Linked DNA regions of Tamandua tetradactyla. The protein of the gene in region 1 purifies or fractionates together with the protein of each later gene. This does not show direct contact. Links are inferred from orthologs where the notes say so. Each region holds a gene or a part of one and is shown on either strand. Other genes may lie near its edges.

What was found. Proteins that work in one complex are often made in the same cells at the same time.
Region 2: the proteins of PPP2R2C (region 1) and CCT3 purify together in Homo sapiens (affinity purification with mass spectrometry; 4 studies listed by BioGRID and IntAct, counting the BioPlex papers as one, with this or other methods). This does not show direct contact. The link is inferred for Tamandua tetradactyla from reciprocal best matches to the Homo sapiens genes PPP2R2C and CCT3.

Annotation. Positions count from the first base shown.
Region 1 is NC_135345.1:6,446,874-6,453,846, reverse strand, and holds the start of PPP2R2C (protein phosphatase 2, regulatory subunit B, gamma), read right to left. Parts: upstream 3,020-6,973; 5' UTR 2,975-3,019; coding exon 2,905-2,974; exon of another isoform or gene 2,856-2,904; coding exon of another isoform or gene 2,828-2,855; intron 1-2,827. UniProt on the Homo sapiens protein: The B regulatory subunit might modulate substrate selectivity and catalytic activity, and might also direct the localization of the catalytic enzyme to a particular subcellular compartment.
Region 2 is NC_135330.1:9,339,587-9,347,638, forward strand, and holds the start of CCT3 (T-complex protein 1 subunit gamma), read right to left. Parts: upstream 3,057-8,052; 5' UTR 2,853-3,056; coding exon 2,822-2,852; intron 1,344-2,821; coding exon 1,282-1,343; intron 616-1,281; coding exon 565-615; intron 473-564; coding exon 410-472; intron 82-409; coding exon 1-81. Other genes in the region: TSACC (TSSK6-activating co-chaperone protein), read left to right, coding at 3,215-3,275, 6,313-6,372. UniProt on the Homo sapiens protein: Component of the chaperonin-containing T-complex (TRiC), a molecular chaperone complex that assists the folding of actin, tubulin and other proteins upon ATP hydrolysis.

The sequences.
Region 1 (6,973 bases):
ACATTAGCATAGTCCCTGGTCATCCCAACAACCCATTAAGAGAGATCACTATTACTTTTCCCTTTGCAAAAGGAAGAAACTTTTCCAAGGTTGCATAGCAGGTGAAGAGTCAGAAGCAGGATATCAACTCAAGTTCTGTCTGAAGTCCAGCTCTGTAATCTACTCTGTGCTCTGGGCATAAAATGCAGTCAGGGATGCAAGAGTGTTAAAGTCTGTTTTCACTTAAGGAAGCCAGAGTTTTCCTAAAATTCTAATAAGTATTATTAATTGCTTCCTCTACTAGACCCTGCCCTCCCTGAAGGCAGGAGTTCTGCCCCTGTCCCCTTGACTCTATACCTTATGCACACTGGTGCTCAGTCTGGGTGCAACTGCGTCCCCCACAAAGGCATGTTCAAGTCCCAACCCCTGTTCCTGGAGTGTGAACCCATTTGTGGGTAGGACTGGTGAAGATGCTAAGGTGAGCCCAGACTGAACAGGGGTGGGCCTTCCTCCAATGTGGCAGACGTCCTTGTAAGCAGGGGAAACTGGATATGGAAACAGAAGCCAAAGATGGAGAGAGGTCACCGCAGGATGGAAGCAGAAATGCATACACAAGCCAAGGAACCCCAAGAATGGTGGCGAGCCAGCATGAGAAAGCTACAGACGCCAGGAGGAAGTATGGCCTGGCAAGACCTCGATTTTGGACTTCTAGCCTCCAAAACAGAGCCAGTCAGTTTCTGCCATTGAAGCTACTCGAGAGTGTGGGATTTAAAGGAGCAGCCCTGGCACACTGAGACACTGAGGTTTTCCATCTAAAAATGTGGGGACAAGGGTACAGGAATGCTTGGGTGAGGCCCCAGCAGGAGTTAGCCACTCATCAGCAATCTGCAGTTCCGAGGCGGCTCCCTCACGCACCCTCTCACCTGGGAAGCTATCATTCGCTCCCATTTCACAGGCAAGAAACTGAGTACCAGTGAGAAGAGACACCCGCAAGGGCCCAGGGCTCCCTGCTAGAATATAGACTGCCTGCTCTCAGGGCTAGAACAGTGGCTTGCCACCACTGAAAAGGGATTAAAAGCCATTTCTTCTTTCTCCTATAGCTACACACTTGTCCTTGCTCTCTTCTGCCGAGCACTCGTGAAATTCTGAAATAAAATGGGGAATGGAGTAAGGGAAAAAATCAACCTTTGTAATGTCTACTAAGGGTCAGGCATGCTGCTTTTTACTTTTAATCATACACCTGGCCCTGTGCTGTCACCCCCAATGCACAGATGATAAAACGGAGGTGTCCCCGGGGAGGCGGGGCCAGGCCATGCTGGGGAACAGCTGAGCGGACCTGGCAAGTTCCCCTCTCCACCAAAGCCAGGCCGCTGGGCCCCCTGCCAGCGACCCAGAGGCCTCTTTAACCCTCTGCTGCCCACCAGGCTAGGAGCAGAGAAAGAACAACCCTGACACAGGCCCATCCTTGCTCAGCCTCACCCAGGCAGCAGACATAGGGTGGCGTTCAGCCTCCTGGGCAGCTGTGAGGGCCCCCGGTTGGGAGCAGCTCTCTCACCCAGCCCTGCAGCCCTGCCCCCTCCCCCACCACACACACACACACACACACACACACACACACACACACACGCACACGCCCATCAGCAAAGCATGACTCAGCGGTTCTCCTCAGGGAACTGGGGGCACACTCCACCCCCATCCAATGCTCCCCTGCCACCAGATCAGGAACAGGGGGGAGCCCACCTGCCGGGGCCCCGCGCTCTCCCGGCCCCACAGGGCTCCAGCCCCGGGACTCGGCCTCATTTCCGGCAGATCCAGGCATCCAGGCATCGGGCTGGCAGACGCAAACTGCCGCTGAGCCCCGCGAGCTCCCTGAGACAAGCACCCACGCACACCAACGCTGTGGGCTGCAGTGCTCAGGGCCCCTCAGTGAGCCCCTCCCCAGAGCCCTTCCCACATGGGCACCCACCAGGGGCACCCCTTGCCCAAAGCCCACCAACACTTCTGCAGCTCCTGGGAAGATGCCCACCGCCCGTGGACACGGAAGGCCTCGGGAATAATGAACCCGGCGCCCGCAGCCTCCCCACCCCCCACCCGGGGCTCACTCCGCAGCCCTCTGGCCGTGCACCGGAGGTGTCGCCGCTGTCCCCTAGGCAAGGCCCCTTGGAAGTTACTGACCTACAAAAAAGGGACGGTGACCCTCTGGATTCTTATGGCCGACTTGGGAGATTTCAAATGCAGGGCCCGTTTGGGGAGGCATGTCCCACTTTTCAGGGAAATCCTGACCGTTTCCGGCCAGCTCCTCCTGCCTCAGTATATAAATCACCAAGAATAAAAGACCAAACTCCAGCGGCCTCCTTCCCCCTCCCGCTAAGGGACCCCTGCCTCCAGAGGCCCAGGGAGGGGAGGAGGAGGGACAGCCAAGGACCCGGCAATTGGATTTTTTCTTCTGGGTCCCTCTTCGTCTCCAGGGAGTGGGCAGCCTAGAAAATTCTGCGGGTTTTGGGCAGGGCTGAAATGTCAAATTCAGGGTTTTAACCCATTACATTTCCCCCCCCCCCCCCCCGGATTCCTTCACCAGATTAGCCGAAGGGATGGCCTTTTCAGAAACGATGGCCGGGGCGGTTCAGGATGCCACCTGGCCACGGAGCGAAAAGCTGCCTCCCGCGGTGACTCCCGGAGGGCGGCGCGGAGGAGGGCATCGCCTCTCCGCCTGGCAGGGAAGGCGACCCCGCCTGGGCCCTGGCTGCTGACCCCCGGCTCCCTCCCTCCTGGGCCCGGGGCGCGTGGGGCGGGGTGGGGTGGGGTGGGGTGGGGTGGGGTGACACGACACACATCGCGCGGTCCAAACCTTCGGAGGGCATTCGGTGCGACGGCATCCCCACGCCGCGGCCGGCCGGAGGGGGTCTCAGACAACACGTACGTTACCTTCAGTCACATAGCTGTGGTCCCGCAGGAAGCTGTGGTTAATTTTCCGCGTGTCCGTGTCCTCGCCCATTGAAGGCCGTGCCCGGTGCCCTGGGCATGCCCCGCCGCCGCACACCGATGCAATCCGCAGAGGTCGCGCCGGGCGCGCGGGCCATGCCGCCGCAGCCTAGCAGGGGCGCGGGCCGCCGGGGCCCCGGGGGGCGGGCATCGCGGGCGTGGGGGGCGGCCGGGCGGGGGGCGGGGGCGCCGCGGTCAGGCGAGCGCGCGGCGGGCGGGCGGCGGCCGCGGGGTCGGGCGGGCCGGGGGCCGGGCGCGCATCCCGGCCGGCCCGTGCGCGCTGCGTCGTGCGCCCGGAGGCCGGGCTGCGGGGCGCCAGGCGGCGGCGGCGGCGGCGGCGGCGAGGGGACGCGCGCGGCGCTGCGCCGAGCGAGCCGGGGCCGAGCCGGGCTGCGCGGGCTGGGGCGGCCGCCGCCGCTGTCGCAGGCCCCTCCCTCGCGCCGCCCGCTCCTCCGCCCCCGCGCCCCGCGCCGCCGGCCCACGAGCGACCCCGCAGGTGGAACCTGCGCCAGGCCCAGGCGGCGGCTCGGGGCTCCGGCCCCGCGCGGGTGGGCACCTCGGGAGCCCGAGTGCGCCGCAGGGGAGGTTGGAAGGAAGCGGTCGGTTTGAGGGACGGGGAGCGGGTCAGCTCAGCTTTGAGGGTGCGTCTTGGTGCCCCGGTGCTCCGGGAATAGAAGAGGCGGCCGACGTTTGGGTGGATTGGGTTGTGGGGGGCCGCTGAAGAGCTGGGGCGGCGTACCTGGAGAATGGGTCACTGCGGAGGGGGTGGGAGGGCAGCGGTCCCGAGGCCGGCCCACAGCCCAAGTGGCCGGCAGGTAGAAGAGGGGGCGTGGGTCAGGTCCCTTCTAGCCCCCTCCCCCGCTCCAGGAGCGCAAAATGGGCCCCGTGAAGAAGCTGGGGCGTGGGGGCAGGGGGGCTGGAGGGTGTCAGCACAGTCCGGGACAAGCTGGGTGAGATGCTGGCTCCGTGATCACGCTTCTGCACCTAACGCACCCCTTTCCTTCCTGGTGAGCAGAAGTGGCAGGCACAGTGCCGCGTGCATGCCAAAAGCATGCAAAATGCTGTCCCCGCCCCCACGCCGTAGCGCCGTGCAGGAGCTGCCGGCCTGCCTCCCTTTAATCATGTGTCCCCCAACATCTTACACGGTGCCTAGCACATAGTAGGCCTTCAAGTATTTATTCCCTCTCTGGCGGAACCCCCAGTTCCCGGGAGCAAAGTCCCGGCCCTGTGACCCTGAGTGCTCTGCTCTGATCGCAGGGCCAGGGGGCTTCTAAATCAACCCTTGGGACCCAGTAGTCTGTCTTTGGAAAGGGACTGGGAGGCGAGGGAAGAAATGCAGTGGGTAGCCAGGGTGTCTGGTGCTTCCCCGAGATGGGGGTGGGGGTGGGGGTTCAAGCCGGCAGGAGGTGCAGTCGCTCCCACCCAATTTCCCCACTGGTTAAGCCCTCCGCTCCTTTCATCTGGTTTTGTGGGGACTCCAAGCAGCTCCCCAAATCAGCCGCAGTGAGGGCAGGAAGTTCAGAAAGGGCTGGTTAGAGGATGGGGGTTACGGGAAAGACTGGCCAGGGTGGGTGCCAGCTGTGGCGGAGGGCAGTGCCTCAGCTAGAGCTGGGCTTTCATCCAAAACAAATGCTCAGAATGGACCTGTGGGTGGTGGAGACCCCCCTCCCCCCCTCCACATAGGGAGTAAATGGACTAGACCAGGGGTGAGGTCCTGGAGGGAGCACCTCCTGGCTGAGTGACCTGGGCAAGTCCTCCAACCTGTCCCAGCACAGGTGTGCAAAGTCCATGCAAGGACCGGGTAAGGCTTCTGCCTGGGACAGCACCTGGCCTGGCACTGACGCAGCCAGCCCTCAGGTCACCTCCTACCTGACACAAAGGTGACTTTCACACTGGCTTCTTTCTCCCACCAGCCTGGGAGTGCCCAGAGGGCATAAGATCTGTTCTCCTCTCTCCGTAAGGCCTGGGCTCCTCAAATACCCGACACCTCGCTCCCTAAACCAACACCCCACTCTCCGCCTACACCCCTAGCACAACAAAACACCCAAAGCCATGGACACTGGAAGACAGATGGAGGGGGCCAAGGCATGGCCAGCCTTATCTGTGAAATGGACGCAGCCACTGGATGCGCCTCCCAGGGCTTCTGTGCTTCCCCCTCGTGCAGCTCCCATCCCTTCCTCACTGATTTTGGGGAGACCCCCACCCCCATGCCATCCTTCTGGTCTGTCAGGTCTGCTGAAAGCCCCAGACCACAATATAACAGCCCTGCCCTGGTCGTCAGCATCTCAGCCACTCTGGGCACCCCAAGTTGGGAGTTTCTAACCTCCCAGGGTCCACCAGACCCCACATCAGCCCCTGCCCCCCTGCAAGGTGGTCTCGTCTGCCGCCCTCGGGGGCTCGTCCTCCGTCTCCCGGGGCCCCTTGCCCTCATCCATCAGGGCCCAGGCCTCTGGGGCTCCTTCCACCTCTCCAGGATGCTGCCACCACCACCCCGATACCACCACTTGCACCAGCTGCCCCATCTGTGTCTGCACACCCCTTCCCCTGCCCCACCGCTCCTCACCCTGCCCCTACAGCCCCCTCCCTCCTCACCAGCTGCTCCCATTTATTCATTCATGACAAATGTTTGTTGAGTGCCCACTATGTGCAGGCAGGAGGCTTAGAGCAGGGAAAAGAACAGATAAAATCTCCAGCTCTCGTGGGGTTGACCTCATGGTAGAGCAATGCAGACAATTCCAAGTGAACATCCGATGGCCTGCCTGGTCCTTGCCCCCTCCCTTAGCTGACCTCCCACTGCAGCCACCCTGCTGGCCACCCCCACCACCTTCCCTGACCTCGGTGACACCACCTGCTGCTCTAACTCCTCTGCCTCCTTGGCTGCTTTGGAAGTTGCACGTCTTTCAATGGTCCCTGAAACGGGTCTCGGTGTTCTTCTCTTTTCCCCCCTGACTTGTTTTACCTGGAGTTACAGTACGTGTGCAGAGAAGTGCACAAAACGTAGAGTCAACTCAGCCAACTATCGTGGGGCAAACATTCATGTAACTGCCCCCAAGTCAGGAATGAGGACGTGGCCCGCCCCCTGGGGCCTCCTTCACTATCCCCTCTTGCCACCGTGGGTCCCTCCCCAGAGGCAACCACCACCTTGGCTTCTCACACTGGAGTTTTGCTTGTCTGAGAACTTTCTACAAATAGAATCATAAGGTTTGGCTGGCTTTGTATCTAGTTTCTTCTGCGCAACATGACGCTTCTGAGATTCACTCATGTTGTTCTACATATATAGCTGCAATTTGTTCATTTTTCACTGTTGTATAATATTCCATCATGGAAATTCACAATTTCTCTGTTCTACTATTGGACATTAAAAGTTTCAATTTAGAGACTATTATGAATAATGCTGCCATGTCTCAGCACATCATGCACACGCTCCTGTCAGGGAATTGTCACATTGCTGGAAGACTGGGTGTACATACAGCCTATGTATGTTCAGCTTTATGTATTAGTTAGGGTTCTCTAGAGAACAGAATCAACAGGAAGCACTTGCAAATATAAAATTTATAAAAGTGTCTCATGTAACCATGGGAACGCAGAGTCTAAAATCCACAGGGCAGGCTGTGAAGCTGACGATTCCGATCGAGGGTCTGGACAAACTCCATAGGAGAGGCTCGCCAGCCGAAGCAGGAAAAGAGCCTGTCTCTTCTGAATCCTCCTTAAAAGGCTTCCAGTGATTAGACTGAGCATCACCATTGCAGAAGACACTCCCCTTGGCTGAATATAAATGGAATCAGCTGTGGATGCAGCTGACATGATCATGATTTAATTCTATGAAATGTCCTCATCACAACAGACAGGCCAGCACTGGCCCAACCAGACAAACAGGTACCACCACCTGGCCAAGTTGACACATGAACCTGACCATCACACTTGAGTACCTGCCATTAAACAGCCTCCAAAGATGAAATGTAAGAGAGTCCCCGCCTCTGCACAGGCTCGTTAAAGAGTTTGTTGTTATTTC
Region 2 (8,052 bases), on another chromosome or scaffold:
TGTGGTCCCATCTCCAACCTCTTCATCTTGGGTCCGGCTAATTTCAATCATAGATTTGGCTGCTGGATGCTGCACTTGAATCTGGGGGAGAAGGAAAAAAAAAAAAAAAAGACTTAATACCACTCAAAGACTTCTAAACCCATTCTGCTTTGCCCTAACTTTTGAGCTTCTTGCTCTACACTTACTCTCTTTCCCTTTATTTCCTTACCACACCTTGAAAGACTAAAAAGAGTAATTCCACTTTCCCAATACTCTTACTTTTTGGGAAAAAATGCATTATGCCAACTCAGTTATTCGTTCCCAGAAGAGTAGCTTTTAGCTTATTTACTTGACAGACCACCTACATACATACTTCTTTATAGATATTATTATTTATAAAACTGTTTGAAAAGAAAATGAAAAGTCACACCTCACGAAGAATGGCATTGCCATCATTGGTCATCACAATGCCTCCCATTGGGTCCAAAAGCATCTAAGAAGCAAAAGTTATATTTGAGAGTCCCAGAAAACAGAAAGGGAAAATAAAATTCGTAGTCTGAGAACTTCAATAAGAGACAAGCCTACCTTCATCATGGACTTGGGTCCCAAACATGTTCTGATGATATCTGCAATAGTCTAATGGACAGAAAACATTGAAAAAAAAAAAAAGCACAAGTCTGAGGCCTGTGAGAGTGGTAGAAGGGGGCATGGGTAATATGCATAGCCACTGTTTTAATTTTAACAATGACACCTTTACTTTAGAGTAAGGTTGGTAACCACTACAGAGCATGCCCTGTGCCTAGCTCTCATCCCCTCAGGGAATGTTTTCAGAGTGGATGTAGAAAGAAACAACCTCACCAGAAAAAAGGGGAAAGGCCTCCTAGAAGTATCAGTCTTTCTTTCCATGACAGTGATTTCCATACCACCTTAAATCTGGTCTAGAGATACTTCATTCCTTCATTCAAAATATAATTACTGACTGCCCACACAGGACCTACAGTGGGCCCTAGGATATAGAAAGTAATTAATAGTAATTCCTTCCCCTCAAATAACTCAGTACAGTATGGGAGACAAATACGAATAGAATATTTAAAAACAACTACAGTAACAGAAATAGTTTTTATGTAAAAAAACTATTAGGCCTAATTCAGAGGGGAGGGCCCCCTTCCCTCTCCATCTCATCAGGGCAATGTCCTGAAAACAATTTTTCCTCTAACTGCACATGGGATTTATCACTATGAAGAAATAAAGAAATACTAAAAGGCAAACTACTACACTCTAAACACTTAAAAGATATGCTACCTTGGCAGCACTGATGTTCCCAGACTGAACTTTTCTTCCAGATTCACGCTTTGTGTTCTGGCCTGAGAGATAAAAAACAAAAAGGCAACAGCCCATAATGGCTCCACTGTACATAAGCCATTTATCCCCCAACCTCTGAAAGTAAAAATAAAGATACAGGTATACATAAAGGTCAAAACTTACTAATCAATTGTATCTCAAGAAGCAGTTAAAAATTCATACTTATGGCTATTTACCTCTTTATTTACTTTGATTTCTGATATACTAAGAAATAACCCCATAACACTTCAACTGTGGAATCTTGGTTATCACCTTCCCGCTATCCAAACATTCACATAATTCAAGTAGGGATTATTTGCAGACCTGAAAAAGACTTCACATATCACTATTCACCCCAGGACCCCCTCAATGGACATAAACCAAGGCAATGCCTCACCAAGTTACATATTCCCCTACAAGTTAATTTAACTCTATAAATCTTTCAATCCAGTCTCATCAAATTTAAACACCTGCAAACCCTCAAGGTTTACATTCCTATCTCAGGCAGTGGTAACTAAAAACCTGCATGGACCTACAAACCTTCAGAAAGAAAATAACTTTTTCAGGACAAAGTAAAATTTTTTGTAAAAAAAATCTTCTTAAAAGGTATTCCCTAGGTATAAAGAAAATGGATAAAAACTCTGAACAGCATTCTGTATAAACATGGCAGCGTAAGGGAAATGGTCAGACAGGCACCTTAGGTGTATAGAAGTTAAACACACAATGGAAATATACCTGGGGAAGACAATGGAGGTGCAGCCTGTAAATCAGAAAGAACTTAAGGATATTTCCAAAGAGTAAAGAGAACCACTCTAAAAGAGAAACTTGGAAAACAGCTGGTTAGAGGGAAAGATTACAAAGCAGCAGTCACAGAGGAAATGATTACACCTGAAGAAAAACCAGTGGGAGAAGAAAGGTTACTTCAGGAACAGGAATTACTGAATGAAAATTTAAAAGGAATCAATGGTAAGTGTCCAAGAATACCATTCACTATTTGCAAGATCCTTTTCTGAGCAGTTTGCCTACTTATTTAATCTCCACAATTTTACGAGGAAATACTATTAACCCCATTATACAGATCGAAACACAAACAACTTGCCCGAAGACACGCTAACAAGGGGTGAGCCAAGGAAATTAAGTTAGGCCTAATGAAAAAAAAACAAAACACATTATTCTTTCATTATTACACCACACTGAAAACCCCGCAAGAGGACTACGACAGGGCGCAGGGGCCTGGGGCGAGGAACCGGACCGAGTGGCAAGGAGCCTCCCGATATGAATACAAGGAAAGGCAGGAGGATCGGCGAAGAAAAGCATCAGTTTGCGTCTGTGTAGAGGGGAGAATGGGTTAAGAAAAAGGAGGAAAGCGGACTTCCTAAACGAGCCCGATGACTAGGAGAGTCGGTGGCCGGGCCAGGGCGGGACCTACTGAGGCAACACTGAGAAGAGTACCGGGATGGAAGCGAAAAAGAGGCCCTTCCCCGGATTCCCCAGAACTCACTGAGCACGAGCACGGGACGATGGCCCATCATGGCGACGTGATACAAAGCCGGGTACCCACAGCTGGGGAGGCGGCAGAACCTTCTAGAGAAAGAAAACCAAGCAAAAGCCCAGAAAACGGTGTCTCCTCCGGGCTTACACCTAAACCCGCTACTCTCCCAGCCGCCGCCAATCACCGCACGTAGCTCATTAACCGACAAGAAAACAGGCCAATGGACATCGTTAGTCCCGCCTCCCACGCAAGAACGGCAGGGCAAGCTAGATAGAGAGAGCGCGAAGATGGAAATGGTAGGGCACCGGCGCTTGCGCAATAGGGTGGCCGATCCTGACCGCGTGCAGCGCGAACTTCAGCGCAAGCGCCAAGGCTCAGGCAGTTGGCCACACCCTACTGCGCATGCGCATCAGCTACATTGAGGGGCGGGCGCTGGGGTTGAGGCTTTGGATTAACGCCGCAGGTGAGGTTTTTAAAGTGTCTTGAGCCTCAGTGCTTTTCGGAGTTCAAGGAAAGTGTGACAGTTTCCAGTGTTTTGTTCCGGCTTTAGCAACGAGAAGGAATAGAAGGTCTGAATTTCAACTGGCCGTTTAGGAAAGACCTGGTCGGTTTGGTGCGGGAGATGATGGGAGTTGTAGTTTTAGCGGGCTGAGCGCACCGAGCCTTTCCCCAGGCACCCTGGGAGTTGTGGCTCATCGATTTTGGACTCGCATGACTATGTGCGAAACTTTCCCTTCTTAGGCCCGTGTTTACTAAACCTGTAGCGGTAGATGGTTTGCGTTTTTTTTTTTTTAGTTCGTTTATCAGAAACCTTTGCTCAAATATTCTGTCTAGTTTCTGTTTCCTGTTATCCTTGTTGTCACTTGCAATTTATTCCCCCTGAAATGTCCTTTTTGTTTTCTCTATCCTGTGCCCGTCAGGAGTGTCATTGTCATTGTCTACTCCCATTCTCGCTTCTTCTGGTACCCTTTATTTCCCTCTCTGCATTTTTAAAATTTCTTTGGGAGTGAAGCCTATGGCCTGTTCACCTGAGGAAATCACACAAAGCTTTTCAATATAATGAAAATGTCTTCAGTTCCAATTATGAACTATTCTTAGCTCCCGAGGTAGTGTATAAATGTGTTGCTGGTGTTAAAAATAATAACAAATCCATATTATGAAAGACCCTTCCAATATCAAAAATTTAAAATTGCCATAGCCCAAACAACCCCAATGAGAGGTATGGAAAGATCAAAGGTGGTGGTGAAATTATACATAGACGATAGGACTTAACAAATGAATATGAATGCTGAATCATTAAATTGATATCTCTTTTAGTCTCTAATATTTTAGAGAGGCTAGAAGTAAAAACCTAAAATTGTGAAATTGTAATTCATGTCAAAGTCTGAAATAGGTTCTATAACTCGTTTTGGTGCTGTGCTTGGAAATTTATAGCTTTTTTAATATATGTTATTGTTCACAAAAAAGAAGGAAAAAAAGTCAGTTGTGATGATAAAAACGTATTTAAGCTCTCTAGCCCCCTATATTCTGGAGCAGCTAGAAGGGAAAATATGAGAGGATGGTGTTGTGGCTCATGACGAACTCTGGGATCTATCCTGTAACCACTTTTTGAAGAGTGCTACTATTGCTTTTTTATTTCTTTGCTTTGTATATATGTTATACTATACAATAAAAAAAGTTTTAAAAGAAAAAAAAAATTCTGTCTAGTGCTTTGAGGTTCTCTTTCCGCATGGCAGCCCTGCACCCCCACCATGCACTCAGTTGCTGATCCCTTAGAGATTTTGATGGGGAGCCAGATATTTAAAATTGCTGTGCAGGACAGGAAAAGGGATGATACTGCAGAAATTAAACATGAAGAGAATACCCTGTTAAACCAGAGAGAAATTGGGGCTGCTTTCTGTCGGGATTTTGTAACCCGTTCTTGTTGATTTTTAAATTTATTTTGTTTATTAAACATACAAACATAAACATTCTTACCATATGATCATTCCATTTTACATATATGATCAGTAATTCACAATATCATCACATAGTTATATATGCATCATCGTGATCATTTCTTCAAACATTTGTGTCAATTCAGAAAAAGAAATGAAAACAAAAAAATTCATACATACCATACCCCTTACCCCTCCCTTTCATTGATCACTAGCATTTCAATCTACTAAATTTTTATTTTAACATTTCTTCCCCCTATTATCTGTTTATTTTTAATCCATATTATCTGTTTATTTATAAGGTATGTTTTATCTACCTTATATGTGTATAAGGTAGATAAAAGAAGCATCAGACACAAGACTTACACCATCAGACAGTCACATAGCAAAAGCTCTATCATTATACAATCATCTTCAAGAAACATGGCTACTGAACACAGCTCTACAGTTTCAGGCACTTCCCTCCAGCCTCTCCATTACACCTTAACTAAGAAGGTGATATCTATTTAATGTGTAAGAATAACCTCCAGGATAACCTCTCCACTCTGTTTGGAATCTCTCAGCCACTAACACTCCATTTTGTCTCATTTCTGTCTTCCCCCTTTCCATGGAGAAGGTTTTCTCAATCCCTTGGTGCTGAGTCTCAGCTCATTCTGGGATTTCTGTCCTACGTTGCCAGGAAAGTCCACACCGCTGGGAGTCATGACCTATGTAGAGAGGGGGAGGTCAGTGAGTTTCCATGTCATGTTGGCTGAGAGAGAGAGCCACATCTGAGCAACAATAGATGTCTCCTTGGGGGTGAGTCTTAGGCCTATTTTTTTTGTTTTTTTTTTAACATGGGCAGGCACCGGGAATCGAACCCAGGTCTCTGGCATGGCAGGCAAGAACTCTACCTGCTAAGCCACCATGGCCTGTCCAGGCCTAATTTTAAGTAGGCTTAGCCTATCCTTTGGGGGTTTAAGTTTCACATGAACAAACCCCAAGACTGGGGACTCAGCCTATTGCTTTGGTTGTTCCCACTGCTTGTGAGAACATCAGGAATTCTCCACTTGGGAAAGTTGAATTTCCCCCCCTTCTCACCATCCCCCCAAGGGAACTTTGCAAATACTTTTTTATTCACTGTTCAAATCACTCTGGGATTTATCGGGGCATCACTCTGGACAAGCCTACAAAATCTCATGCCCTACTCAAGGTTCCATGCACTTATGGTATTCATTTAAGCTAGTTGTGACCCATTCTTAGGAAACTTAAATTTGTAAGTTTAAATAAGTTGGTTAAATTACTATTTTGTCCAGAAGAAAGGAAGCAATAATAATAGAAACAGTAGTAATAGAACGGTAGATTGCTGATAAATAACTTATATTTGGCCATGAAATAGAGCACACCCTTTCCTCTCCAAATTAAAACAGCTTGAAACTTGCTCAAGACAGCTTATGAAGTTGTCAATAGTAAAAATAATAGCATGTATTTAAAATATGTATATTTTTATTGAGAAATCTCCATGCACATACAGTCTATACAGTCAAGAGTTGTTGATTATGTGATGCTGTGATTCTTTCCCAGGTGCCACACCTGTTGGTGTCCAGATGGAGCAGCACACTAGTCGTCCTACTAGCAGAAGAGGTGTGTGTCAGAGACCTTGTTTCCCCTCCCTTAAACGCCAGACCTCCCCAATTCCTCAGCCTATGGGAAAATGATTCTAGTTGTATATATGCTTTTCCCTTTTACTTGGTTAATTGGAAAGCAGGTGTGTTTGTTCTGCATTCCCCACTAAATGGGAACATTGCTGTATTCCCAATGCCTAGAACTGGATCTCTTATATGGTAGATGTTCAATAATTATTAGGTAAATTTCTATCTCCCCTTATAATAAGATGTTATGAACAGGGCTCCATTAAGACAAGGTGTTGACTAGAGTGAATAGATAATAAGTTTGAGTGGGACAATCCCAGTGGTGGCCAGGAGAATGTCTTAGGCCGTCTGACTCCAGAGCCTACCCACTTAACTGTAGGAGGTTAGCTTCCTGTAACAGAGACACCCACTCTGCCCTCCTTGAACATAGATTTAATTAGTTCTTTTCACAGAGTATATAGTGCAGTGGTAAAGAGCATAATTGGCATCTGCAGGCCCAACGTTAATTCCAGCGCTGCCATGTAATCATTGTGGAATCATGAGCAGATTTCCTGTTTCCTGAAATAAAATGGGGATTAGTGATCTCACAGGGCTGTTGTGGGAAATACATAAGATAAGGTATGTAAAGGACTTTTCATTGTTTTCTCCATCCTGACTTCTTTGCGGCTCCCCAACCTAATCTTCTGTTGTACATTGTCTAATGAGAAATACCATTCCTTTAGTATAGGCTGTGAGTAAAAGATTCTTCAAACCTTATAATCCAGTAGATAGCACGTCCTTATACACACAGGGTGGGCTCAAATAATTTAACGGTGCACTTGCATGGAAATTAACAAATTTTCAAGTGGTGAATTGAGAGATGAATTTCAGCTTCTATCTCTATACCACTCTACATGAACCATCAAATGACTGATGCCTCTGGAGCACGTGGAAGGAGAAGGTGGGTGACCTACCGTAGGCCTTGGAAAATCCCCAAACCCAGTAAAAAGGAAAAAATATATATATGTTCCCTCACCAAGAATAGCTGACAGGGAACATGACAGACTTTAGTTTTCTAAAGCTCGATGACTTTCCGGCCTGAAAGCATCTCAGCCTGGCCCCCATGGATGAGCCCTTCCTCCTTACCAGCCCATTCCTTCTGTCACACCTTGAATAAAGCGCAAGAATAAGACGTCTTCATCCATACAGCCTACTTGTCGTGCTTCTGCCCCCAGGCCTGTTTTTCATGAAGAAGTCATTGCTTTAACTTCATCTCTCTGAGATACCACTTCCTCAGGTTGTATTTTGCAGCTCCGTGGACTAAGTTAGGTGCTCTCATTGCATTGTTCCGGGTATAATAACACGCATGGTGACTCCACTCAGTGACTGTCTGCACTTTAGGACCGTCAGCTACATGAGAGGAGGGGTCACATTTGTTTAGTCCACTGTGGTAGCTTCAGCAGCTGACACAGTAGACACTTGGAGTCTTTATGTGTATGATTGAATGGGGTACAAATCAGTTTTTCGCTCTAACTTAACTATTTTTGCTAAGGTAATGTATTTTCCCATTTAGGAATCTCTACCATGTCCAACCTATTCTGTTTAATATGAATAAATTAATCAAGATACCACTGATAGCTTATTTCCTAACCCCAGAAAGGCCAGTGACTTTCCATGATATTTGGGAGAAAGC